Linked DNA regions of Caenorhabditis elegans. The protein of the gene in region 1 interacts with the protein of each later gene in a pairwise test. Each region holds a gene or a part of one and is shown in the gene's direction. Other genes may lie near its edges. The genes, in order: nhr-91, klp-3, F35G12.5 and abce-1.

Region 1 (8,030 bases):
TACCTATTCGTGCGTTCTCATTCCGTTTCCCTATTCTCTATTATCTTTTTGCTCAACGAGCTAGCTTATACTACTAGGTCGTTCTACAACCTTTCCTCCTAACCACGATAAGATTAGCCACCACGGTTGCTCGTGCTGCACCCTGATTAGTATCCAACACTCTCTGGGCTTTGTAATCACTCATGTGTATAGCAGCGACCCTCTCACCTTTAAATTTGAATTCGTGTGTGCTGCTCATAGAGAGAAAAGACTCATATTCATCCACGTACCCTTTGCTTCATCATCCGCCTATACCCCCCCCCCCCCCCACAGCTTCTCCCTCCCGCTCACCAATCCCTCCTCCTCTTTCCCCATTTTATGTGCACTTTGAAAATAACCTTATGAGATCGTCCAGTGAAAGGAAATGGAGACAAGAAGAGGCGCCGGTGGAAGGCAGGGGCAATAGGAGGAGAGACCTACTGTCACTCTCGTTTGACCGGCAATAGGCCCGATTGAATGTACGCGGTTTTCACGAATTTCAAGGTCTGACCCACAAAATTTCGTTCGCCCTCCATGCATCTTTCACCCAATTTTGCTTTTGCGCCAATATCCGCGCGCTGTCCCCCCCCCCCCCCCTCCCTCCATCCTTCATCCATTCCGGCTTACCATCGTCTCTCTCTCGATTGTTGTGTGAATGTGTGTGTGACCTACCGACCTACAGTTTAACTTTCTCACTTTGTACTTTCTTGAATTATCCTCCTCTCCTCCTCAACCGCCTTGCGTTTCGTTTTTCTTTCTCGCATTTTCATTTTTGTTCGATTAGTATCCTGGTTACTGGATCAGCGATGTAGCAACAATGTGTTACAAGTTTTGAAACTAGCAAACTAGTTGAAAAAGTCTGGTCGATAGCTTATCACTTTTATGATTAACATGTTTCATTTATTTTCTATATCTGTTGCATTTCCGCCATCGTTGAGAATCGCTATTTTTCTAGAAACTAACTCAATAACTGTCAAAATGATGATTACCACGTTTTTTAGGCTCAAACCAAACCGGTATGTACTATTTCGGACAATAGAAAAACTGTATCACTTTGGAATAATTTTTTTTTAAACCTCACTGTATATTCCTTTGTAACAACTATTTGTATACAGCAGATATATAGGTTTGGTTTCAAGATATTAATAATATGATTAGTTTCAATACTATAGGAACATAAGTTTGATAAGCTTTTTCTCTATTTTCAAATTGAGCAAATTCTTGCAAATAACCGTAAAGTATCTTGCAAGTTAAATTGGTAAAATCTGTTTTTCTGTTCATGGAATGTTTAGGAACAATAATTGATTCTTTTTAATTGTAGCAAAACTGATTTGTCAAACAAGTAACTTTTTAATGTTAAAAACTCTATTGTTATTTTTATTCTCATAAACCTACCACTACAGTTTTGTACCTTCTCAACCCACCCGGCAACGGCTCTCAGTACCAGGCGGTGACGTCCAAATGCTGCCATTTGGCTCTCAACGAGCTCCGCCGCCAAATGCGTGACCTTGAAAATTGGTAGACGAACCCCCCCCCCCCCCCTTCCACCGTCCCGTCATTTGAAATGCTCTTTTGCACACTCTGATCTCACTTCGATAAACTCGACCGGCCCTACCATCCGCGCTTTTTGTACACTGCGATTCTGACTCAGAAGTGAGGAAGATTTTGTACCTCTTTCGAACACACAATTTTACTTTTTTTTTGCTTCAAAACAACTATACAATTATTCTGACTTTGTTCGGTCTTGATAATACATTTATTCACACGAGGGAGCTCATTTCCTATCTTCTTTTCCGTTCTGATTACTATACAATCGCTCAAAAACTGGGTAACAAAAATATTATCGCATTTTCACGACATCTACAAGTCTAAACCAATTGTTCTTCTTTGCTCCCCCTCCCATTTACATACCCCATTATACTGTCCCTACCGTATGTTGCCTGCTCCATCTGCATACATTAATGACCTCTGATTAATGAGCCTCTTTCAGTGCGATGGACGTTGCGGACTCGACATCTGAGACGCCACCTGTTTTTGACCATGACAACTTGGCTCTCGCGGCACAGACCAACTTGTTGCAGTTCTACCTGACACATTTGGCATCCACACTGGTGCCGCCAATGAAATTGGATATGAGAGACTCGATGACTCCAAGGTAATTGCATTTTCCTGAAGATGTGGAGAGCTTAGTTTCAAAATTTTAAATTTTCAGCTTCAGTCAAACCGAAAGCCCAAACTCTGAAACCGACGACTCCACTTCTGCAGCAAACAAAGTTCTATTCTCTATTCTTGGAACTCCAACAACAGACAGTACTTCGGTATGCGAACTGAATGAAAATTATTGAAATTATGTAGTAGAACAATTACAGAATGCCGTTTCAAAATCCAGCAGCAAGCTGTGCTCGGTATGTGGTGACAAGTCAACCGGTCTACATTACGGTGCTGCCACCTGTGAAGGGTATGTGCATTTAGATATTAAAAATACGGAGGGGGGGGGGGGAAGTTCATACTTCGAGCAACAACAAAAAACTTTTTTCATGTATTTTGAAATTTACGCAGTTTCTGCTGTTTTCTGACCTCTGTTTTGAATTGTGGTACTTCCAATTAAGACATTGATGTTAATAGGATGCCATATAATACTATTTCAGCACTACATAATTAACCAAATTTTTTGTTTCAAAATATACATCTGGAATTATCTTTCAATCTGTATCTCTGTAATTAATTAATTAGGCAAGTGTTTTTACTGTTTGATGCTTTGAAATAGTGATGCTTTGAAAATTACTCTAATATAAATATCCATGCCGATTTCATAATTTAATTTAGTTTCACTTCACTTTCTTCCCTTTGCTTATATCTTGTTTTCTATCGAAAGTTTTCATATTGTTATTTTTCTTTTCCCGGGTGGTCAGAAATCTGTTCCGCTCGCCCTCTTCCAGGATCAACATAAAAACTGTCTGGAGAGAAGAAGGGGGAGAGCTATTAACGGAATTAGTGATCGGATCGGGAAAGCGAAAGTGGTGGTGGGGGGCACCACACCAGTGAAAGTCCAGTTGTCAGCACCAGTGCGCTACATTTTCATCCGATGCTGGGGAGGGGATGCTGACGCCGTCGCCGCCGTCGTCGTCAACGTAGACACACGTCCGCCTCGGGTGCTGGAGGGGGGGGGGGGCAGTCAGATTTTGCGGCCTTCAGAATCCGCGATGATGGTCAAGGCCTTCAGCATGACACGACGCACCGCCGAACACCCAGTCAGTGAAATGTTGCGAAGGGCGACGGCCGGCCAAATGTGTCACGCACCTCGACCATTCGTTTCTCACTACAGCGCCCTTCTCGCCTCCCGGTTGACCCTCGGTTTGGAAGGAGGTGAAGTCGGTAGTGGAAGTGCACTTTGAATCGGTTTAGACGGTTTTCTCTAGGTCACACGCACCATAAGAACTTGTTTCTTTTTTTTTCAATGTGTTACTATAAAAGTGATACTATCTGAATAAACCCTAAATCATAAACCCTTAAAAAAATATTTTTTTAACTCACAATTTTTCCATTTACAGCATAAACGTTCCCAAAATTATAGGCGCTCATTGTAAATATTTCATCTCAGCTTGCTGTAAATATTTCTATTTGACTGTACTGTTGTAAAGAACTGTGATTTTTAGTTGATGTCCGTCGAAATAATTATCTGAATAAAAAAAAACGCAATTGACCCGCACTTACGATAACAATCAAGCTATTTCACAAAAACGGGAGAGCTGCGAAAGTTCCCCCGAAAGTTCAGAACGGCCTTCCTAAGATAACAATCAGTGTACCACACCGTACTCAAAGTACAGAGGACACTCGGATAACGATCAAAGTAGGTTTCAGTAATCGACAGCTCAGTTAGAGAAAGTTCAAGTAATACATATTAGTCTATATCATTATCAATCGGACATATTGTCTCTCCGGAAAAAAATGTCGGAGGTCGACAAGGTTTTGTTAGGGAATCGCGTCGGACAAGGTCGGTTCAACTGGTGCCATTTGCGTACCTCTTCTCGTCACCTCTACTTTTCGGGGCCGCTCCTCCCCATCTTACTCGCTGCCCCACCTCTCATTTCTGATGACCACGACCCAATTTAAAGTGATTTTTGTCTTTTAAGTTGACCTTTTGCACAGTTTTCGTAGAGTTTTTTAAAATTTTAATTTAGAATATTTTCTATTTTCAAAACTTTTAAGCTGCCTTGCTGTTTCTTAAATTTATTTAGAAATTTAAGTTTTAACACGAAAATAATAAAAAAAACTTATTTTTATTTCTGTATAGGCTCACGTAACTTTTTTTTGTGCTTAAGTTTTAATGCTTATAATTGTGTGGAACGGTTTTACATTTTTAATCGGAATAAAATACCATTTCTAAGCATAAAAAATGCATGGCATAGTTTGTTTTCTAACAGCGGAATGCCTCGAATTTGACTTAAAATTTCAGTCAACCTATAAATCATGCAACCCATAGATAAAAATTTCCTCGGATGCACTTAGTGCCAGAGTGTCTGATTTCGGTTTGATCTACGCAGGTCTACAAAAAATGCGGGAGTTGAGACGCAGAGCAACTGATTTAGCATGGTTAAAAACGTGCTGACGTCACATTTTTTGGGCAAAAATTTCCCGCATTTTTTCTAGATCAAACGGTAATGGGACAACATGGCACCACGTGCGGATAATCTATTGGTTCAGAAAGCCAAAAAGTAGAAACAAAAAAATAGTCCAAAAAATAAAATGCCACATTAGCTAGAAAAATTGCAACACGTTTTTTTTTCAAGACACCAGTAACTTCTCCCCTTTTTTCGTCATACAACTTGAAAAAAGTTATGACAGACGGAAAATGTGGGTAGGTTGCAAGGGCATCTTAAAGAACAAGGTCACTCGAAGACCCCAAAAAGAGACGTCTCTGTTGCTGCCTCTTTTTTTTTTGCGCATTTCACTTTACTATCATTTTAACCCACCACCTTTTCCTCCCCCACATTTTCTTTTCCGCCGTCTTCTGGTTCTTCTAGTCCGCCACTTCTCACGTCGTCTGATTTTGAATTTTTTTTCCCGCCGTCCGTCTCGTTTTCCAAATGTTTCCACTTGTTTTGTTCTGTTGCATTCATTTTTCTCGATTCTGAAATGTCAACAACTGTCATTTGGCCGCTGGTCAATTGATTTGTTCCATATGCTCCACCTGCTCGTAACTTGTTACTTGTAACCTTGAATTTTCAAATTTTGAAACCCAGCTAGTTCAAAATGCTCAACAACTACTGTATTTCAGGTGCAAAGGATTCTTCAAGCGGTCCGTTCAAAACAAAAAAGTATATCACTGCAGTCAAGACAACTGCTGTGAAATTGACAAACAAAATAGAAACAGGTATGTAAATTCGAAAAATTCCATTCAACAAAAAAAAAGTTCACAATAAACCGTAATTGACCTTCCAGGTGTCAATCTTGTCGTTTCCGAAAGTGCATCAGCAAGGGCATGCTAACCGAAGGTTAGTTTTTCGGCACGGAGAATAACCGCAAAATTGTTTGTCTTTTTGTAGCAGTGAGAGAAGATCGCATGCCCGGCGGGAGAAATGGGAACAGTATCTATAGCAACTACAAGCAGAGGAGGAGTATCATTAGGAAAACGAAAGATTATGTGGAGGAGCAGGAGAGAAGGCCGTTTCAGAGCCTTCCAAGTGGGAAAAAGTTAATAAAGGTGAGTGAGCACTTGCAGAGCGATATGTAGTTTTTTGGCAGCCCCCGACACTTTCGGGGTTTCCATACCATGGTGGCTAGTGGCTCGAGACCGGCGGAACCTCGAAAGTGTCGGGGGCTTCCAAACAACTACATATCGCACTGCGTTGCTCAGCCCCAGCTCTAAATGCGGGGCTGGAGCTGAGCCCCTCGCAGCCCTTTAGCAGCCCTAGTGCATTATGAGCCAGTTAAAAATTTGAAACAAATTATTGCCTTATTCGATTTTGCTATTTTACAGGAACTGGTTGAGATGGACTGCCTAGACCGGCTCATCAACCTAAAAGGACTCCGAATTAATCCATCTGCAAACTGCGATATTGCCCCTGCTTGCAAAAGGTTAACCAGAATAGGAGATGAAATTGTGGAGCAACTTGTTGAGTGGACGAAAACCTTGCCGTTTTTCGACGAACTACCCGTAGAAGCACACACCCACCTTTTGACACAACGATGGGCCGAGCTAGTATTACTATCTGCTGGATACTACGCGTGCTCGGTCTTTACTCCGGACTCCCCCGACACAACAGAAATGATAGACGAAACTGACGAGATCTCATTCACAAACCCACAGGTCAACCTTCGGCTACTTCAAAATCGATTATCACTGGTGCTCGGCAAAGAAATTCCATTGGAACACGTGGCGAAGTAGACTATCAAACTTAACTTTATTTATTCTAAATGATAATTTTCCAGAGAAGCCGGTCCGCTTGTCACCCGTTTCACGACCCTCCTCCATTCGTTCTCAAATCTCAAGGTCTCTCCGGAAGCGTACGTCTGTATCAAAGCTATCACTCTTCTTCACCTCTCCGCCGACTCGACACTTGATAGGAGTATCATCGACAAGGTCAACACGCTTCAGGATCACTTTGTCAAAACACTTCAAATTCATCTGCACCAGCCGGGAGAGGACGCGCAGACGACGAGCCTCGCACAGATACTTGACTGGTGAGTTTTTATTAAAAATTGTATCAGAGTTAGAAAAAATGCATGTTTTCAATAAGTTGATGTGCACCTTTGGAAGCCCACCTGACATAATTTTTAATTGCTTATTCATATCCGTAAAATTTGCTAAGTTGGCAAAAGTGAATAGTTTTCCTAATGATACCTGTCCAGTCACTGACTTTGGTTCTCATTCCAAAATAAATTATAGTCGTACATATTCTGATATACGACATTACTTTAAAAGGCTCTAATATTATATAATCATTCCATGATAAAACGTTCGCAATTTTCCAGGCTTCCGGATTTGCGAAACGCTTCGTCAGTGCTGCTTCATTCAAAAATGTTCTACGTCCCATTCCTGCTTTGCAAGAATCCGCGACGTCTAGTGTTCGACGAGTAGTCTTCCCCAATACCCTCAATACAGCTTTATTTCTCGGTTGTGCAATATAATTTAGTTCATTTTTTCCACTTATTATTCGTTTCTTTTTTTTTTGAAATTCCCCTGCCTCTTTCCAATTCTTCCCACGAAACCAAAAAAGTTGACGTTTTTTTTTTCTTCTCTGTCTCTATCAATCAATCTGTTTGATCTATCTATCATAACATAGACGTGTGGTCGGAAACATAATCAAATAGTTTCTATGATTTTGGATCCTACAGTATCATTTTCTACTACTTTTCTTCAAGTTGTGAATTTCTGGAATAATTTGTGTGCAATTCGTGATGTCTTTGTGTTCTCTCCCCATTCTCTGTTCCTATCTCGTTTCTCATTCACCCACTCTCTCAAACAATTTGTAGTGTATTTTTCTACGAAAGAAAAAAATTTATTGGTTTAACATTTTTTTTAAATTTTACAGATTACAGAATCAGAATTGATACATAAACCATATGTTATGTTGTTGAAACTGCTTCATTTCGAAGTCAGTTATTGAACTCGAACGCCGATCTTCCGCTAAAAAATAAAAATTCCGGAATTTTTGATTTGAAAACTCTGAAACTTACGTCAACAGCTGAACGCGAGGAGTTAGCATTGGTGAGTGGTGAGCCAGGCGAGAAGCATGAGCAAGACGGTCTGCTAGAAATGAAGACATCACCATCCATGCCTTCACCGTTTCTTTATGACGACGCCCCGGACCATTCCATTCGGTGGCGGTGGTTAGCAAGCTTTCGCCAAATTTTTCCCAATGTTTTCCACTGAAAATAAAGATCAATGTAAATTAATGTAAATTAATATTAAAAAATTATTTCAAAAAAAAAACCGGAAAAATCATGAAAGAATAAGTACATCTTATCTCACTAATGTGATAATCGTGCAACTCACGTGATCTTAAAGT
Region 2 (5,625 bases), on another chromosome or scaffold:
GTCTTGTCGTGGTCATCACAATTACACGGAAAACTATTTGTTTGTGTTATGTAATGTGTATGTTCTCGCCATAAAACAAGAAATGAAACCTGAAAAACGAGCAGAAACAATTGGCTTACTGCCTATTACGTGTGTGTGTGCCCGTTCCGCGTCCCTCTCATTTCCGCCCAACTCCGCCTACTTTCGTCTCTTTTCGATCACTTTTCCGCATCATTTTGATCACTTTTACAAACACATTCATGCCCGTAGTCCACCACCATCATCGCTTAACTCTTGAAATTTCTGATTGGTCATTGAATTTTGTCTTGGAACTTCCATCATTGAACACCAATCCAATTTAGACTTTTCCTTGTATTTATATGCCTATCGCCTGAATTTCTCTGATCTAGATGCTACCCAAAACAGACTTTTTCCCATTTCGTGTCACTCCTTTTTTGTGGGTCACAACTAATAAATCATGTTGCTCGTCGGTTTCTCGGAGCACACTCCATCCTTTTCCTTCTCATCAATTCAATGTGAATCGACATGCTTCTTCTTTTTTCTTCAGATTTCTTCACTACCGTCGTCACTTTTCGTTTTTTTTTCTTTTTCAACCACTTGAAAATGTGAAAATGTGCACTAGAAGTTTATGAGCTCTTGTAACCGAACACAGGCTCGTTTGTGAAAATGTGAAATGGAATGATGTTGGAAGAAAGAAAAGAACAAATCATGAGCTCCGGGTGATGGAATTCAAACATTTTTCCACAAATCTTATTGGCTTTAGTCAGAATTCTTCGTTCGTTATTCTGTAGAGTGACCCGAGTCAGACAAGCTTAATGAAATCATCAATATTCATTATAAACAAATTGTTTTAATTTATTTAAAGATCATTCTTTATATTATCAGAAAACAAGCTCTGAGTTTTTAATAACCATTTATTCAAACCTCCAAATATTCAATAAATTGGGCTTAATTTCTGTTTCAAAATGTTTTTTAATCAACCAATATATTCTCATCAGTTGTTCTATGAAAATTCTATACATTTACAAGAATTTTGGAGCGATGGAATAAACTAGGTTATAGCAAGTTGATGATACCTTTTCCACTATTTGAAACTCGACCGTTCTGTGAATTTTCTATAAATACAAAATTAACCTCATTCATGAAAGTGCTTGACGGCAAACAAAACAGTACCGAGATCAGATCACAAATAATTTTCTCTTCCTTTTTGTTCAATGTTCTGCCATCAGTCTACATTGTATTCAATTTCATGTTTGATTTGTGCGCCTGTTTCGCTACAAGCTCTTTCTCTGTGCCCTTTCAACTTTTCATCCTCCTCATTCCTTCTTCAATTTTTATTAGTTTACCTTCTCTCACTTTTTTATGACGTGGAATCACTGTATTTGCAGAGATACTTCTTCACCTTTTTCTCCATATTCGACCAGTTCTTTCACTTCTTCTCGGTTTTTTCTTTTCTTCCCTTTTTCCGCTAATAATACCTGACCAACAATTCATTTTCGGCTTGGTCTTGTATAGAAGACCACTTGAGATACTTTTGAATGCCATTCAGTTGCTATATTTTACTTTTTTTTGTTTTTTTCCTGTTGTTTTAGTTGCTAACTAAAAGATTATCCTTTTTGATCTGGCTACGATATAGTAGACAGAAAGAGAAAGTAAAAAATCGAACGTTGTTGACATTTTGTTCACTTTTTATTTCCTTTTTCAATTTTACATACTCTTAAATATGTTGACTATCCTCTATGTTTCTAAATGAACACAAAAATTTTTGTCTCCGTTTTTTGCGTTGTTTTCCTCAACCGCTGCACCCTAGAATTACTGTTTTCCAGAAAAAATAAACGATCGACACACATAAACACAGGAGTCTCTCACTCCATTTTTGACTTTAAAAATGGATTCGCATGTCGGCGAAGTCGATATTTTCCAACAATGCAAGTATATTCATGAGGTTTGTTCTAATTTCAGTTTGTTTTTGGTTTAACTAGTGTCACTAGTTGCACAAAGTTTGAGAGAATATTTTAAGATTTTTTTTTTCTGAAATTGATTGAACCATTTTTCACTGAGTTTATTAAAAAATTGTGTACCAGAATTCTAATTCACATTCCAATTATTGTTCAATTTCAGGTGGAACTCGTAAATATGAAGTTGCAAATGCGAATTCTGGAGACACACATTGAGACAAAAGACCGACTTCTGAGAAATTTAGAAGATATTATAGACGAACAAGAGTCACGAATTGCAAATATGGAAGATTTTATTCAAGGTACGCACTGTCGTGTGTAGTGAATTTTTGTGAAGTTTTGCATGATTAAAACCCCGTATTACTTATCCGTAATCTTAGACACTTACTTGATATATTGTCATGAGTACCGTGTTTTTTAATCCCAATTTTTTGATCGTCGTGTGATTTGGCTATCTTTAGCTCAAAAGTGTTATCTTTTAATACGCATTTTTGTTTTTTCTTAAAGTAATTGTGTTGTGGTGGTCGGATTGGCATGATTTTATAGTGTTTAATCTTTATTATTTTCTACTTGGTTTTTTGGTTGACAGTGCCTTTTTTCAATTTCACATATTCTACCAAAATCATTTCAATCCGGCCGATACTGATAATATTTTTCTAACATCATTACATGTTCACTTTAATTTCGCAAGTCCAAACAAAACTTACAACAGCTTATTTCTAAACAATAATCTAGCAAACGGCTAATTGGAATGATCAGGTTATTAAATGTTGAAATTGAATTGCAGGCCGTGCCACGTCATACACAAATCGGTCAAATATGCTGAAAGGAATTTCAGTTCTTTCACTGGATTTCGGAAATCTTTCGGAAGAAAATCTACGATTGAAAAATGCGCTGAGCCAAATGCAAAAAGTGGCAAGAGTGAATGAGTTATTGGAAACTGATGAAGATTATGAAAGTGATATGACAAGCAATGAGGATCGATTTGCTTTGAGGTAACCATTTTATTGTAATGTGATTGTCTTGTGAAAATAGTTTGAACACTTGAATTTTTTGAAAAGTAGGTCAAAAATGTAGTGTAATTTATTTTCCGTTTGCAAGCCTTTGCATGTTTTCCTGTGTATTCCAGCCGTGATTCTTCATGTTCGGTTCCCAGATCAGTGAGCCCCCAACCAACGGGTGACGTCATAAAGCCATATCCTCAAATGGTTCAATCAATGAGAGAAGAAGGGCATTGGAAGAAACTTCAGAGATGTGCAGAAGAGCTGAAAACTGAAAAAGATGAATTGAAGAGACTAGCATTGGATACAAAAGATGCATTCAATGTATGTATGGCTGAAATGAGAATGATGCTCACTTCAAAGACAACTGATTTCTTCCGAGTTCTCATTGAAAGATACAAAGCAGAAATGGAAAAACGAAAGCAATTACACAATCAATTGGTTGAGTTGAATGGTAAGTTCTAAATTGATTGAAATATTCCAAGAAATCGGAATGATTGATCTTTATAACTACTTTCCAAAAAACTAAAATTTTCAATTTTTAAGGTAACATTCGTGTATTCTACCGTATCCGTCCACAACTTGCATCAGAAACTGACAATCAAAAACCAGTTGTCGTGATAGATGAAATGGATAACGGAGTTGTCCACGTGTCAAACACAACGGGAACTCGGAAAACTAGTGCTGGAGCTGACAAGGTTATTCCAACTGATTTCTCGCAAGATCAGATATTTAATGAAGTTTCTCCGATTATTACATCTTGCATTGATGGTTATAATGTATGCATATTTGCGTATGGACACACCGGAAGTGGAAAAACATACACTATGGATGTAAGTTTAATTAAATTTTCAATAGAACTTTAAATTTCCAATTTTCAGGGTCCCGTCACAATGCCTGGAATCAATCAAAGAGCTATTATGCAATTGTTCGAAACTGCGAAGGAGAGAACGGGCGATATAAAATATGATATTAAAGTTGCCATGATGGAGATATACAATGAAAAAATACGGTAAATTGACTTTTTTTTTAACCTAAAATTGCAAATTCATTTTTCAGTGATCTCTTGAACACTTCCAACACAAATTTGGCAATTCGTCAAACTGAAGAAGGGAGAAGCTCAATTCCAGGACTTGAGGAAGTTTCAGTGAACTCTGCAGAAGAAGTCACGGAAACGCTTGCTAGAGGAAGAAAGAATAAGGTGAATTTGAAACAACTTCATATTCTAAATTTTCAATTTTCAGGCTGTAGCTGCTACTGAAGCCAATATTGAATCCAGTCGTTCTCATGTTATTGTTAGAGTTTTAGTATCGGCCACAAATCTTATAACAAAAGCAACTACAGTTGGTATGTCATTTTTCAAGTGAAAAAATATTTTGAATATATGATTTATTCAGGTCGTCTGAATTTGGTAGATCTTGCTGGATCAGAGAGAGTTTCTCAAACGAATGCAACCGGTCAACTGCTAAAAGAAGCTCAAGCTATCAATAAATCTCTATCTGAACTTGGAAATGTTGTACTTGCTCTTCGCCAGAATCAAAAACATATTCCATTCAGAAATTGTCAATTGACAAGAATTCTTGAAGATAGCTTGAGTGAGTTTCATAATATATTGGGATTTCCCTTTTAAATATTATTTTCAGATGGAGACAGTAAAACTCTGGTCATTGTGCATTTATCACCAGATGCAAAGAGTTTGAATGAATCTATTAGCAGTGTTAATTTTGCTGAAAAAATCGGACAGGTATGCATTTATGCCTTATCACATTTTACAAAAATTAAATGTTTCAGGTATTCACAAAAAGTGGAACGATGAAAAGAGAACCAACACGTAGAAGTATGACTGGAATAAGCAGTGGTCAACGAAGAGAAATCCCAGCATCTCCAAGAAAATGAACCTCATAAAATATCAAATATTTCATCTCTACTTCTCCAATAATCATCTTGTCAAATCCCTGAAATACCCGCTTACTCTTTCCATTCTAGTCCATGAAAAATTTCAAAAATTCAAAATGGGTTCCAACAATTTTTTTTTTCTAAAACTGCTGACTGACCAAAAAACTTGAAATACGGTTTACTTTTTCAAATCTAAATATATCCCCCATTTTTATTATTTGCAAATTTGTTTATGTGTGAGCTTTGAAACAATAAAAATATTCATTTAATATTTTTTAGTTCAATCCAATATTTTGATAGGTGGAATTGCAACAAAAATGAAGCAACAAATTATAAAAACAATTGTGAAGATTATAAGGCAGAATCGGTCAACTGCTTGAGCTGCAAACTTCCATTCGTCCTAAAATTTGAAATAAACATTGTTTTTTTATTAGGCCTGCATGTAGGACTATTTTTTATTTGCTGGTAAGTGTGACTATAAGAGACTGGAATGGTAATAGAGGAAATAAAGTATTGAACTATAAGGTTGATCTAACTCTAAAAAGAAATGTTAATAATGTTGTCAATTGTATAAAATAACTTAAACCCTATTTTGGGGCATATATGACAATATAATACATGCATTACATTTGACCGAGTACGGTTGGCTCTCTCTATCTATCTCGTTGTCCAGACCAGACTCATTTTTTCCGCGAAGTACTCTATGCCTCTTCCCTCTCTAAAAGAGACTCAGACAGTCCAAACAGAAGGACATTCTCTTCCACGGCCAC
Region 3 (4,474 bases), on another chromosome or scaffold:
ATTTATGAGTTGATGGAATGGTCGAAGGAGTCTCCAGATGGTGGGGAAATGTATTTATGTAAGTTACCAGTTCATTCAATTAATATTTAACAATATTTTTATCAACAGACGGAACACGTTTCATGTGTTATATGGCTCGTTCCTACCCACAAGTTCTTAAATATTTCCCTGATCTTGCACGGCGTCTCATGCTCGAAATCAGAATGTTCGATCAATTGAGTGTGGTCAGTCGTCTTGGAGCTTTCGATCATTTTGCCAGTATGTGCTTCTCTGTCGAGGCAAAAGAAACTTTGGAGGATATGTTCAAAGGTATTTTCCAAATTTTTCAAAAGCAAGATATTAAAAATCATATTGTTTCAGATTCAAAAGATCTTGAGAATACTTTGGGAGCTGCTGGTGCTGCATGTACGATGGGAACAATGGAATTGAAGTGTCGAACTCTTCAGGCCGTCACTCTCCTTTTCCAGAATAGTGAGCTTATTTAGTTATGTGGAATGTTTGAAAATTAATAATTTCAGCGACTGAAAAAATTGCTGAAACATGGTACGAGCGTCTCGGTGGAAAAGCATTGACACATGTAGCAGTTGGAAATGTTAAGAAGCCGTTCCCTGAGATGAAGAATTGTATTTATGATTTCTGGCAACAGTTGTTCACATATCCATCAGTTGTTCATCAGTTCATCACTTTCCAGGGGTATGTTAACGACATTTTTATGCGAGATTTTTTATTAAAATTGTTTTTTCTCAGATTCATTGACTGGGCATTGGACGATAAATCAGAAGATAATCCAGAATACGAAATTCGCAAACGTCAAATTATTCATCGAATCATTGAATTGTCGGAGAATACAAAGAGCGCCGAAGTACTCAAAGCTGATCCAGAACTGATTGGCCGTCTCAAGAAATATCTGCAACCGGCTGTTGCACCTGCTCCGCGTGTTGAGGAAATGGCTCTTTAGATTGATCTGTATATCCTGAATCTCTTTGACTATTCAATTTTTTGTTTCTTTTTCATCTCAATTATTCCAATACAGTATTTTATTGCCTCAAAAATGACTTGTTCGCCGTTAATTCATGTTCCGGTTTGAAGTTTTAATGAAATTTATTGATGTAATGTTTTTAATATAAGTCTTTACATATACTCTTGTGTTTGAAATCCCATTTACTTCAATCTTTAACGAGTTTTGAAAACTGAAATGATTGTTTCAAAGCTTCAGCGTCAAAAAATGAAATGCTAACAACGTGAAGGTTAAACGAATTTGCTATTTAAGTAAAACACACTATCGTGTTTCTCGCATTTTCGCCGCCAAGAAAATAAAAATTTCATTTCGAATTGATTTAAAACTCATTCAATTTTTGGTCTCGCCGCGATATAAAACGTTAAAATGTAAGTCAAAAATGTATATCTCTTGAGATCGCTTATTGAGTGGACTTATTTATGTTTGAAAGATAGTCTATCTAGATAGACTAACGTTACATTAATTGGACTTTCATGTTATTTGGACTATAATGGTGCGTCCAAAGTGCATAGAAAAACAATAATTTTCTCGTTACCGCTATTGATCAATTTAAAAAAAGAAGGCGTGGCCAACCCAACAATCCGCTGATTGGCTAGTCACGCCCACTAATTCCCATTTTCTTCACACTATCGACGCACCGCACAATTAGCTGCAAGTTTGATGATTGAAAATTCGGAAAATTTATATTTATTTTTCTACATAGGCTTTCCTCATTGTTCCAACTTCTATGCGTTTATTTTATCGTTCAAAAGATAAATGCATGCTGAATATATAAAGTTTTCAGTACTCAACACAGACTGCAATGCATCGTCAACAAGAATCAACTGCACGAGTGACAGAGCAGAAACGATTGGATGCCGAGATTACCGTAATTGTTTAAACAAATTATTATATTCTATTCATCAAAGCTAGCTTTCATATCAATCTAACTTTACTTAATTTTCTGTTTCTGTTAGATCGCCTTCTCAACATTACGATTTACGTAAATTTACTTATTTTTGTTGCGAAACTGATACAATTACCTTACTATGCAGTATATTTCCCAATGCGAAAGACAAATAAAACATGAATTATTTCTAGCTGCGCGTCCAATGTCAGGCGATTGTCATGTACTTCGTAAAAACTGGGAGAATGGAGATGAGCCTGGAGGAATTCAAGACGATGTTTAAAACGGTGATGAAAAAGGAATTCGAGGTAGTTTATAATTTGTATAAGTTCTGAGACCTCTCCGTTTGATCCTAAGAAATTGCGGCTATTTTGCAAGCTTTTCTTAAAATTGAAATTCCTCTGGAGTCACATTTTCTGCACCTTCTAAAATCCAACGGGGAATTGAAGTTCTATCAAAATGAATTTTGAAAGTATAACTTTCCTTTTTTAAGGATGAGTTGCATCGAATTACTGAACCAGGAAAATCCAAAATGGCAATCGAAAGGTACATCCAAGGAATCAATCTTTTGGATAAAAAATGCATTCTTGATAATGGTGATTCTTTTCTTTTTGAGAATTGTTTATTATTTCTTTCTTTTCAGATGAAAATCACAATGTCCTGTTCAAGTTTGCGCCGATTGATCAGGACTTTGCGCATTCTTCGACAAACCTGAGCACGCCATCACCATTGGAGGAAGAATCGGCACGCGAAAACAATCACGAGGCTCAGGTAGAATGCCGAAGTTTTGGAAAATTAAAACCAAACGGGTTACCTTCAGGAATTGGATATAACTGAAAGAATTGCTCGCATGAATCTCATAGGAGGGAGCGAGTTCCAAATGCAATATTCTTCTTTCCTTACAGCAGTGTCAACGAAACCTTCAACAGATGCTAGTTTGAAAAAGTATTTTATCAAGCACCTTATGCATTTTATTATTCGGTTTTCTGTAGGGAAGCAAGACGACTCGCTGAAATTTGGTGGGCAAAAAATTTGAGATTTTTTCCGCAAACCATGTACGTGCTGCAGAAACTTGATCAGAAAAATCCAGATGGGTTTAATTACACTGATTTTGAGGAAGAGGTTCAGGTAATAATTTAATCTTATTGTTAAACAAGGGAGAAATTTAGTACGTTTAGAAAGTGATCCCAAGGTCCTGGATACAGAACCATCATTCATTTACACTCTTGTCGCTGTTGAATGAAGAGAGCCTTTACGTGAAGTTCAACTTGATAATGCCCTCGGATTCTGAGAATATGAACAGAGTAAGCTATTATATTTTGATTGGTCAAGAAAGTAAATCAATATTTTTAAGGTGAAGGTCAACCAAGTAATTAAATTTCTCGGTTTCCATGAAATTGGAGACTGTGAGTTTTCTATGATCTATCAATATGTTAGTTCAAAGTCCGCTTCAGAATCTACATACAGCATCCACAAAGTGAGAGTTTTTTTAGTGGATTTCTTTTCAACTTCGAATTTTCAGTTCATGTGTGAAGACTTTCCGGGATGGGAGACACAATACAATAACGAAAAGAAAAGCATGGATAGGATCTTTGAGATAATTATTCAGGAGCAAAAAGTAAGAATGATTGAACATATATGAGAAAACATTTCAATGTTTTTCAGTTATTTTGGACGGAATATGATTATCATACATACAAACGCCATGCATACAAGATTGCTGTCCCGATGGTCTTCTCGCTTAACATTGTAGACAAAGCTGTTGGAGTTCGAAGTGATGCTCGCTAGCTAGTTAATGATAGCCCTGTCTTTCCCGTTCAACTCGATCTCTTTGAAAAAAATTCATTAAATCACATCAGAATCGCTCGAAAAAAAAATTTGAAGCTTTCAAGACAATCCCCAAAAAAGCATGCTCAAATCGTTATTTTGGAATCTTCAAATTTTCGGAGCATTTTTTCTTATTACGATGTTTTTTTCCTTAGCCAAATCTGTTTGTATGTATTTATCAGTTCCCGTTGATTTAATGTTTAGTTGGTAGAAATAAATATGAATAAAGTTTTAAGTTTCAATGTTTCGCAGTTGAAGAATTCGTAGAATCCACAATCCATCCTCCAAAATCGGGAGTTATTTTGTCAATGGCCAGTGTGAAGAAGCACGGAGTTTCAGCCGGATGAAGAGATCGAACACGCTGAAATTGAATGAAAATCTTAGTGATCCGAAATAAAAACATACAGCTGATAGCTCTTCGACTTTGCTTTCTACAGTTTTCAAGATCACGACATGCTCTTGATCTTCTTCAATTTTTCCTTGCCATTTGTATCTGAATATCTGGATTCTCGCACAGATTTAAAAAAGATAAAATACTTACACAGATGTGACTTCCGGAATAACATTGGCGCAAGCGGCTAATGCTTCAGTGACAGTTGTTCTGAAATGAAATTATGTTTTGGTAGACAGAAAACAAAAAAATACCTTGCCACAGTCATTGCAACTTCCTTACTCGGAGCTGTCACATACGCGACAACCATTTTTACAGCGGGTGTTGTCATTTTTATTTGAAAACTTATTTT
Region 4 (7,700 bases), on another chromosome or scaffold:
AAAATCTTTAAAACGGTTTTTAGGATTTCGTACTACAAGTTTTACAGTTTTTGGCAGAAATTCTTGTTTTAGGAGCTTATTTGCGCGGTTTTAACATTAAAAATGATCTATATTTACCATTTTTTAAGTGAAAATCGATACATTTTTGCATTTTAAACTCAAAAATTGCGTTTTTCTTGCAAAAAAAAAATGAAAAATTCAATTTTTCCCCCGAAAATCCAAATCTTACTGGGCATATTCTTCATGCATTGGCTCAAAAATCCTCTGAAACATCTCAATTGGAATACTGGCGAATAACCGATCGGAGCGCTCTCGATTTAGAAGATTATGCTGGAATTTTTCGATTTTTCGCATTTTTTCACCGCTCCGGGCACTCAAAAACCTGTAATTCGGTCGGAACTTTCACGAGAATCTTCATTTTCTCCTCGAAAGACGCTGTTGGATCCTCAAATAATTTAATGTGCTCTTCGATTTGAATTTCAATCTTTTTTTCGGCTTCTTCCTCTTTTTTTGTCATGGTTTCACTGCTTTCGTTGCTGGAAGGTTGAAAATTTAATGAATTATCGATAAATTTTGCGAATTTTAAATTAAAAAAATAAAAAATTACCTCATTTTGAGATCAATAAATCAGAAAAATAGTAGAAAATTGGAAAAATTAATGTTCAGCCGAGCACTTCTTCGTCATGGCGACATGGAGAGACTATGCGAAATCGAGAGACGCAGAGAAGCCGCGAAGCAAGCGCGCTCCACTGTACTCTTTTTTTTTCAGTATTTTTACACGCCACATGTAGCTTTTCAGCCTATTTTTCTGGTTTTCTAGGGTTTTTAGGCAATTTTTTATTTGTTTTTTGTTGAAAACTCAGACTTTAATTATGTAAAATCTAAAGTTTTACCTTAATTTATGATTTTCCGTCGAAAATTGCCTTTTCTCAACTAAAAAAATTACCAAAAATATTGGGAATTTTTAAAATTGCACTTGAAATTGTTGAAATCTCACTTAAAACGAGTTATTTCTGCCTATTTGAGGCTTATATAGCTTGTTTTTTATAATTGCACAACATTGTGGAATATTGCGATAATCGGGGGCACTCAAGAGGCGGTCTCCGCAAATTTTAGCAATTTCTCTACGTTTTTCGATAAATTTTCGGTGAAATTGTTGATTTTCTAGCTTGCCACGTCAATTTCCTGCTAAAAAGACACGTTTTCTATCAAATTTTTTTTTGTTTTTTTTTCCTATTTTCCATGTATTCTAGATGTTTCAAGCATTTTTCATATATTTTCTGTTGAAAAATCGAACATTAACTATGCAAAACCTGCTGTTTTACTTGAATTTATGAATTTTCGCTGAAAAAATTTTTTTTTTGCCTTTTTCAATGGTTAGGACTTGAAAAAACGACCCAAAATATCGGGAATTTCGAGTTATTTCTGCTTGAGCATTTTTTTGAGTTTTTCGGTGAAATTATTGATTTTCTAGCTTGTTTCCGTGCTAAAAACCACGTTTTCCATCCAATTTCATTGATTTTTGAGGTAAAACGAACAAAAAAGGCGGCGAGACCCATGCTATGTCCCTTTAAACCAGCGCGCTCTAATTTAAGAAATTTCCTCTAAAATATGAATTTTCTAACAATTTTTGCCTAAAAAACACGTTTCTTATTCAATTTCATCGCGTTTTTCAGGTAAAACGAACGAAAAATGAGTCGAAAAGGCCCATTAATAAAAAACAACGAGACGGACGTGCCACTGCGTATTGCTATTGTGGAAAAAGATCGCTGCAAGCCGAAAAATTGTGGTCTGGCGTGCAAAAGAGCTTGCCCAGTGAACAGACAAGGTATTTAAATCCTCGGTTTCTTTTTCACAAATAATTGCAACAAATATCCAGGAAAACAGTGTATTGTCGTCGAGGCAACTTCCACGATTTCTCAAATTTCCGAAATCTTGTGCATTGGATGTGGTATCTGCGTGAAGAAGTGCCCATATGACGCAATCAAAATCATCAATCTCCCAGCAAATCTGGCAAATGAGACCACTCATCGTTACTCGCAGAATTCCTTCAAGTTGCATCGCCTGCCAACTCCTCGCTGTGGAGAAGTCCTCGGACTCGTCGGAACAAATGGAATCGGAAAATCGACGGCACTGAAAATTCTGGCCGGAAAACAGAAGCCAAATTTGGGAAATTTCCAAAAAGAGCAAGAGTGGACGACTATTATCAACCATTTTCGAGGTTCAGAACTCCAGAATTACTTTACGCGAATTTTGGAGGATACTTTGAAGTGTGTCATCAAGCCACAATATGTCGATCAGATTCCAAGAGCTGCCAAGGGAACTGTTGAGAAAAATTTGACCCGAAAGCACGATAATGACAATTTGAACTCGGTTATTGATCAAATGGGTAGGTTTTTTCGGCGGAAAATTGGCTGGGATTCGTATTTTTCAGCGAAAATTTTACGTTTAAGTCGTTTTTTTCACTATTTTTCGGTGAAAAACTGAAAAATGAGTGATTTTCCTGAGAAAAATTGAAACGAAAACGCCGAAATTCGCTAAAAACGAAGAAATTTGATTTAAAAAATATCCATGTTTCGCAACAAAAAACATGTAAAATTAATATTTTGTTTTTAAAAAAATCACCAAAAAACCGTGCCGCAAGGTTGCAAAATGACGCTCCGCCTCTTTTTCTGTGCGACGCAGCATTTTTTTTGCAAAATTCGCACGGATCGGCCGTTTAATTTCAACAGTACTATAAAAATCGATTTAAAAACGTCCGCACCATCAAAATTTTGAAGCTACAGTACTCTTTAAAGGCGCACGCCTTTTTGCATTAAACAAAAATTTGTCGTTTGGAGGCCAATTTTTCAGAGAAAAATCAAGACAATTAAAAAAAAAATATTTTCAAAGCTTCTAAAATCAAATCTCTCCAAAAACTAGAAAAAAAATGGAATTTTTTCTTCTCCCCACTGAAAATTAACAGCTTTTTGGTCTGAAAAAATGTTTTTTTAAAAAACCAATGAATCCAATTTTTGCCAAAAATAACTAAAAATTTAAGTTTTTATCAAAAAAAATTTTTTAAAAAACACCCAAAATCCCCATTTTGTCATTTTTTTTTTCGAAAATTAAGAAAAATGGGCGAATTTTTAAGCGATTTTCGAGAAAAACAAAAATTTTACCGTAGTAATTTGAACCATGCAAATTTTTAAAATCAATTTCCGTCTGAATTTTGCAAAGAACGGAGCGTCGCACAGAAAAATAGGCGGAGCGTCAGTTCGCAACCCTGCGGCACGGTTTTTTTTGTAGATTTTTTAAATAAAATAATGTTTTTACTTGTAATGTAGAGGCACCACGTTTTCAAGATCTGTTCAAAAACAAGATCTACGAAAACAAGATCTACGTTTTCAGAATCTGGCACCGTGCTAACTGCGGTTTTCTCGATGAAAAACGAAACAACGATGCTCCGATGTTACGAGTCGTGTGTTGTTAAGCGTATCTTCTAGATGAAAATTTCAAAAAAATATTTTTCTGAACGCTAAACAACACGCGACGCGTAACATCGGAGCATCGTTGTTTCGGTTTTCACCGAGAAAGCCGCAGCTGGCACGGTGCCAGATTCTGAAAACGTAGATCTTGTTTTTGAACAGATCTTGAAAACGTGGTGCCTCAAATTTTTTTTTTCGAAAATTAAGAAAATGGGCGAATTTTTGAGCTATTTTCAAAAAACCGAAAAAAAAAATTTTCAAATTTTTTTTGCCGTAATAATATACCATGTAAAAAAATGTAAAAAATGTAAAAAATGTAAAAAAATAAAAAAACCATGTATTTTTCAGAGCTTCGTGGCCTTCTGGATCGTGAAATCGACCAACTCTCCGGCGGAGAACTCCAACGTTTCGCGATCGCAATGTGCTGTGTTCAAAAAGCCGACGTCTACATGTTCGATGAACCATCCTCTTACCTTGATGTCAAGCAACGTCTGAAGGCTGCCGCGATCATCCGCGAGCGTGTCAGTGATACGAACTATGTTGTAGTTGTTGAACACGACTTGGCAGTTCTCGATTATTTATCTGATTTCATTTGCTGCTTGTACGGAGTTCCTGGAGTTTATGGAGTTGTTACTCTGCCATCTGGTGTTCGTGAAGGTATCAACATGTTCTTGGAAGGATTCATTCGGACTGAAAATATGAGATTCAGAGAGTCAAAGCTCTCTTTCAAGACATCGGAGCAGCAGGAGGATATCAAGAGAACTGGAAATATTAAGTACCCGTCAATGTCAAAAACGCTTGGGAACTTCCATTTGGACGTTGAAGCCGGCGACTTTTCCGACTCGGAAATCATCGTGATGCTCGGAGAAAACGGTACAGGAAAGACGACGATGATCAAGATGATGGCTGGATCGTTGAAGCCTGAAGATGAGAACACTGAGCTCCCGCACGTCAGCATCTCGTACAAGCCGCAGAAGATCTCACCGAAATCTGAGACTACTGTACGCTTCATGCTTCACGATAAGATTCAGAACATGTACGAGCATCCACAATTCAAGACGGATGTGATGAATCCGTTGATGATGGAACAGTTGTTGGATCGAAATGTGAGAGTTTTTGAAGAATCGTGAATGGGGATTTTGCGATTTTGCTTCAAAATGTGCTAATTGATCTTCAGAATTCAGAATTGCCACTAAAAATCGAAAAATACTGAAAATTTCAGCTTTGAAAATCGTTCTCACCACTAAAACTTTTGGAAAGACAGTTTTTGGTCTGAAAAATTTAAAAAAAAACCAAAAAATCCAATATTTTTTCTAACAAATTTTATTAGGAACCGAAAAAATCCAATTTTTGAAAAAAAAAAATTTTTTTTCGTTTTTCCGTAATAAATTCGCAAAAATTGGATTATTTTGGAAACTTTTTGGCAAAATTTGTTTGGGAAAATCTATTATGTGTACACAAAATTCTGAGAATGCGTATTGAGCAACATATTTGACGCGCAAAATATCTCGAAGGGAGAACTACAGTAATCCAGTTTAAATGACTACAGTAGCGCTGGTGTCGATTTAAGGGCTCGATGATTTTCGAAACGCCGTAAATTGACACAAGCACTACAGTAGTCATTTAAACAGGATTACTGTAGTTTTCGCTACGAGATATTTTGCGTTTCAAATATGTTGCTCAATACGCATTCTCAGAATTTTGTGCTCCTGTAATAATTTTTGCCAAATAATTATTAGGAAACAAAAAAAAAAAGTTTTTTGTTAATTATAAAATCAAGTTTTTGCCAAAAAATAATTTTAAAAACCAAAAAATCCGAAAAAAAATATCCATTAGAGCCAGAATACTTTTAAAAACCAAAATGTTTTCTTTTTTTGTCAAAAAGTTTACAAAATAATCCAATTTTTGCAAATTTTTTATAGAAAAACGAAGATTTAATTTTTTTTAAACCTGACCAAACTCAATTACAGGTGAAAGAACTTTCGGGAGGAGAATTACAACGTGTCGCTCTTGCCCTTTGCCTCGGAAAAACCGCCAGTTTGTACCTTATCGATGAGCCATCAGCTTACCTGGATTCGGAGCAACGTCTTCACGCGGCAAAAGTGATCAAAAGATTCATTATGCATGCCAAGAAGACGGCGTTTGTTGTCGAGCACGATTTCATTATGGCTACCTATTTGGCCGACAGAGTCGTCGTTTTCGAAGGTCAACCGTCGGTCAAGTGTACGGCTTGCAAGTGAGTTTATTGTTTATTAGTGAGAAATACAGTGCATTTTTTCCCCATTCTACAACTTTAAAGACGCGCGCATTTATACAAAATGGTCTCGTCATTGGTCTCGCCACGCGCTCAACAAATCAATGGGATGCGCGTGGCGAGACCATTGCTCGAAAATGCGCGCGCCTTTAAAGTCGAAGAAGTTGAAAAAAAAAATGCACTGTATACCGTATTTCTTCTATTAGTATGGCCTCCCTATTAGACTTGCACTCCCTATTAGTATTGCACCTTGAACACCCTCCGAAAATTAGTATTGCACTCCCTTTTAGTGTTGCACTCCCTAATAGTCTTGCGTCTCTACTTTTTTTCGGTGCAAACCCGCGCCTCACTAAATTTAATATTTTAACAACATTTTCTGCGTCGTTTTCAATAATTTTCGTGAAAATTTTTATAAGATTGAAGTTATTGAACTTTTTTGTTGCAATTTCAATCAAATTTTCTGAATTTTTACATAAGATTCGAGTTTTTTCAGAACAAAAATAGTAAGCTCAAAGTCAGAAAAATGTTCTGAAAATTAGTATTGCACTCCCTAATAGTATTGCAAGCGGGAAGACCATCGAAAAATAGTATTGCAGCCATATTAATAAAAGAAATACGGTAATAATTTGTCAAAAAAATTTAAAACATGCCTATGGGGTCACAATGACCATCATGGTTAAAAAATTCAAAAAAAAAATTTCTAGATTTTATATGATTTTTTGAAAATTGGAAAAATCACAGTTTTCACCTAATTATTTTTGAATTTCCTGCTAATTTGATTTGTTCGATGGAGCGCGCTTGCATTGTTTTTATTAATTAATTTCAATTAATTTTATTTATTCTCGTTATTTGACTGATTTTCTTCATTTTCTATGTTTTTTCCTCGGAAAAAGGAAGAAATAAACAAGACAAATGAAAATTTAAAAAAAAACCAAAAAATCTAATTTTTTGCCAAAAAATTTAACAAAAATCAAAAAACACCATTTTTTCGCCTAAAAAATCGCAAAACACCTTAATATAATACCAACAAATTCAATTTTTCGCTAAAAAAAGATTTCTTATAATCCAAAAAAAAAACTTTTTCTGACAAACAATTATTCAAAAAACCAACAAACATAAACGATTTTTTCCCAAAAAAAAAACAAAACATCTAATTTTTGTCAAAACAAAACTACGATTTTTGCCAAACAATAATTTTTAAAAAACCAAAAAAAAATACATTTCTTGTCGAAAAATTTTAAAAAAACCGACAAATCCATTTTTTGCCAAAAATCCAATTTTGGTCAAGAAAAATTAATTTTAAAAACTTATTTTAAAAAAAAACTATCTTTAGAATAAACCAACAAAAATCCAAATTTGGCCAAAAATTTGTATAAAATAAAAAATCTAATTTTTTTAAAACAAAAACTTAAATTCGTTAAAAAGTAATTGAAAATGCGTAAAACTGTGATATATTGAGTTCCGACGGCAACAAGTCTGAAATTAGTATATTTCACAGTTTTACCCATTTTGAAATACTTTTTAACAAACATTTTGCATTTGTCTTAATTATTTCTTTTATTTTCGTATTAAAAAACATAGAAAATGAAGAAAATCAGTGAAATAACGAGAATAAATTAAATTAATTAATAAAAATAATGCAAGTGCGCTCCATCGAACAAATCCAATTGGCGGAAATTCAAAAATAATTGGATGAAAACTGTGATTTTTCCAATTTTTAAAAAATCATATAAAATCTAGAAATTTTTTTTGAATTTTTTAATCATGATATTCGGTAATTGTGGTACCATAGGCGTGTTTTAAAGTAATTTCTCCACTGGCGTATTACGTTTTTTTTCTGTATTTTTTTAAAATTAAACCAAAATAAAAATCATTGATTTTTCAGACCCCAATCCCTGCTGGAAGGAATGAATCGATTCTTGAAAATGTTGGATATCACTTTCCGTCGTGATCAGGAAACATATCGCCCACGCATCAAT

What was found.
Region 2: the proteins of nhr-91 (region 1) and klp-3 interact in a two-hybrid assay, tested with the Caenorhabditis elegans proteins (one large-scale study listed by BioGRID).
Region 3: the proteins of nhr-91 (region 1) and F35G12.5 interact in a two-hybrid assay, tested with the Caenorhabditis elegans proteins (one large-scale study listed by BioGRID).
Region 4: the proteins of nhr-91 (region 1) and abce-1 interact in a two-hybrid assay, tested with the Caenorhabditis elegans proteins (one large-scale study listed by BioGRID).

The regions. Positions count from the first base shown.
Region 1 is NC_003284.9:15,307,367-15,315,396, forward strand, and holds nhr-91 (Nuclear hormone receptor family member nhr-91), read left to right. Parts: upstream 1-2,008; 5' UTR 2,009-2,012; coding exon 2,013-2,173; intron 2,174-2,230; coding exon 2,231-2,336; intron 2,337-2,387; coding exon 2,388-2,476; intron 2,477-3,033; exon of another isoform or gene 3,034-3,327; intron 3,328-4,002; exon of another isoform or gene 4,003-4,137; intron 4,138-5,296; coding exon 5,297-5,392; intron 5,393-5,460; coding exon 5,461-5,513; intron 5,514-5,564; coding exon 5,565-5,722; intron 5,723-5,998; coding exon 5,999-6,402; intron 6,403-6,450; coding exon 6,451-6,702; intron 6,703-6,875; exon of another isoform or gene 6,876-6,944; intron 6,945-6,993; coding exon 6,994-7,099; 3' UTR 7,100-7,528; downstream 7,529-8,030. Other genes in the region: glb-28 (Globin domain-containing protein), read right to left, coding at 7,618-7,648, 7,699-7,890, 8,018-8,030. UniProt on the Caenorhabditis elegans protein: Orphan nuclear receptor.
Region 2 is NC_003280.10:7,840,529-7,846,153, forward strand, and holds klp-3 (Kinesin-like protein klp-3), read left to right. Parts: upstream 1-1,824; 5' UTR 1,825-1,888; coding exon 1,889-1,945; intron 1,946-2,121; coding exon 2,122-2,260; intron 2,261-2,745; coding exon 2,746-2,953; intron 2,954-3,087; coding exon 3,088-3,413; intron 3,414-3,505; coding exon 3,506-3,792; intron 3,793-3,840; coding exon 3,841-3,971; intron 3,972-4,018; coding exon 4,019-4,160; intron 4,161-4,203; coding exon 4,204-4,306; intron 4,307-4,356; coding exon 4,357-4,554; intron 4,555-4,602; coding exon 4,603-4,703; intron 4,704-4,750; coding exon 4,751-4,855; 3' UTR 4,856-5,125; downstream 5,126-5,625. Other genes in the region: Acetylcholine receptor subunit alpha-type acr-7, read right to left, coding at 5,136-5,255.
Region 3 is NC_003281.10:4,582,783-4,587,256, forward strand, and holds F35G12.5 (SPK domain-containing protein), read left to right. Parts: upstream 1-1,800; 5' UTR 1,801-1,820; coding exon 1,821-1,886; intron 1,887-2,098; coding exon 2,099-2,212; intron 2,213-2,397; coding exon 2,398-2,500; intron 2,501-2,547; coding exon 2,548-2,675; intron 2,676-2,724; coding exon 2,725-2,849; intron 2,850-2,896; coding exon 2,897-3,032; intron 3,033-3,082; coding exon 3,083-3,208; intron 3,209-3,258; coding exon 3,259-3,381; intron 3,382-3,426; coding exon 3,427-3,522; intron 3,523-3,569; coding exon 3,570-3,692; 3' UTR 3,693-3,969; downstream 3,970-4,474. Other genes in the region: F35G12.12 (26S proteasome non-ATPase regulatory subunit 5), read left to right, coding at 1-58, 109-309, 361-471, 519-693, 748-958; F35G12.7 (Divalent-cation tolerance protein CutA), read right to left, coding at 3,970-4,092, 4,137-4,224, 4,273-4,332, 4,377-4,453.
Region 4 is NC_003281.10:13,152,141-13,159,840, forward strand, and holds the start of abce-1 (ABC transporter, class E), read left to right. Parts: upstream 1-1,676; 5' UTR 1,677-1,692; coding exon 1,693-1,828; intron 1,829-1,879; coding exon 1,880-2,389; intron 2,390-3,815; coding exon 3,816-4,573; intron 4,574-5,437; coding exon 5,438-5,703; intron 5,704-7,606; coding exon 7,607-7,700. Other genes in the region: Y39E4B.10 (NR LBD domain-containing protein), read right to left, coding at 230-330, 383-536, 608-612.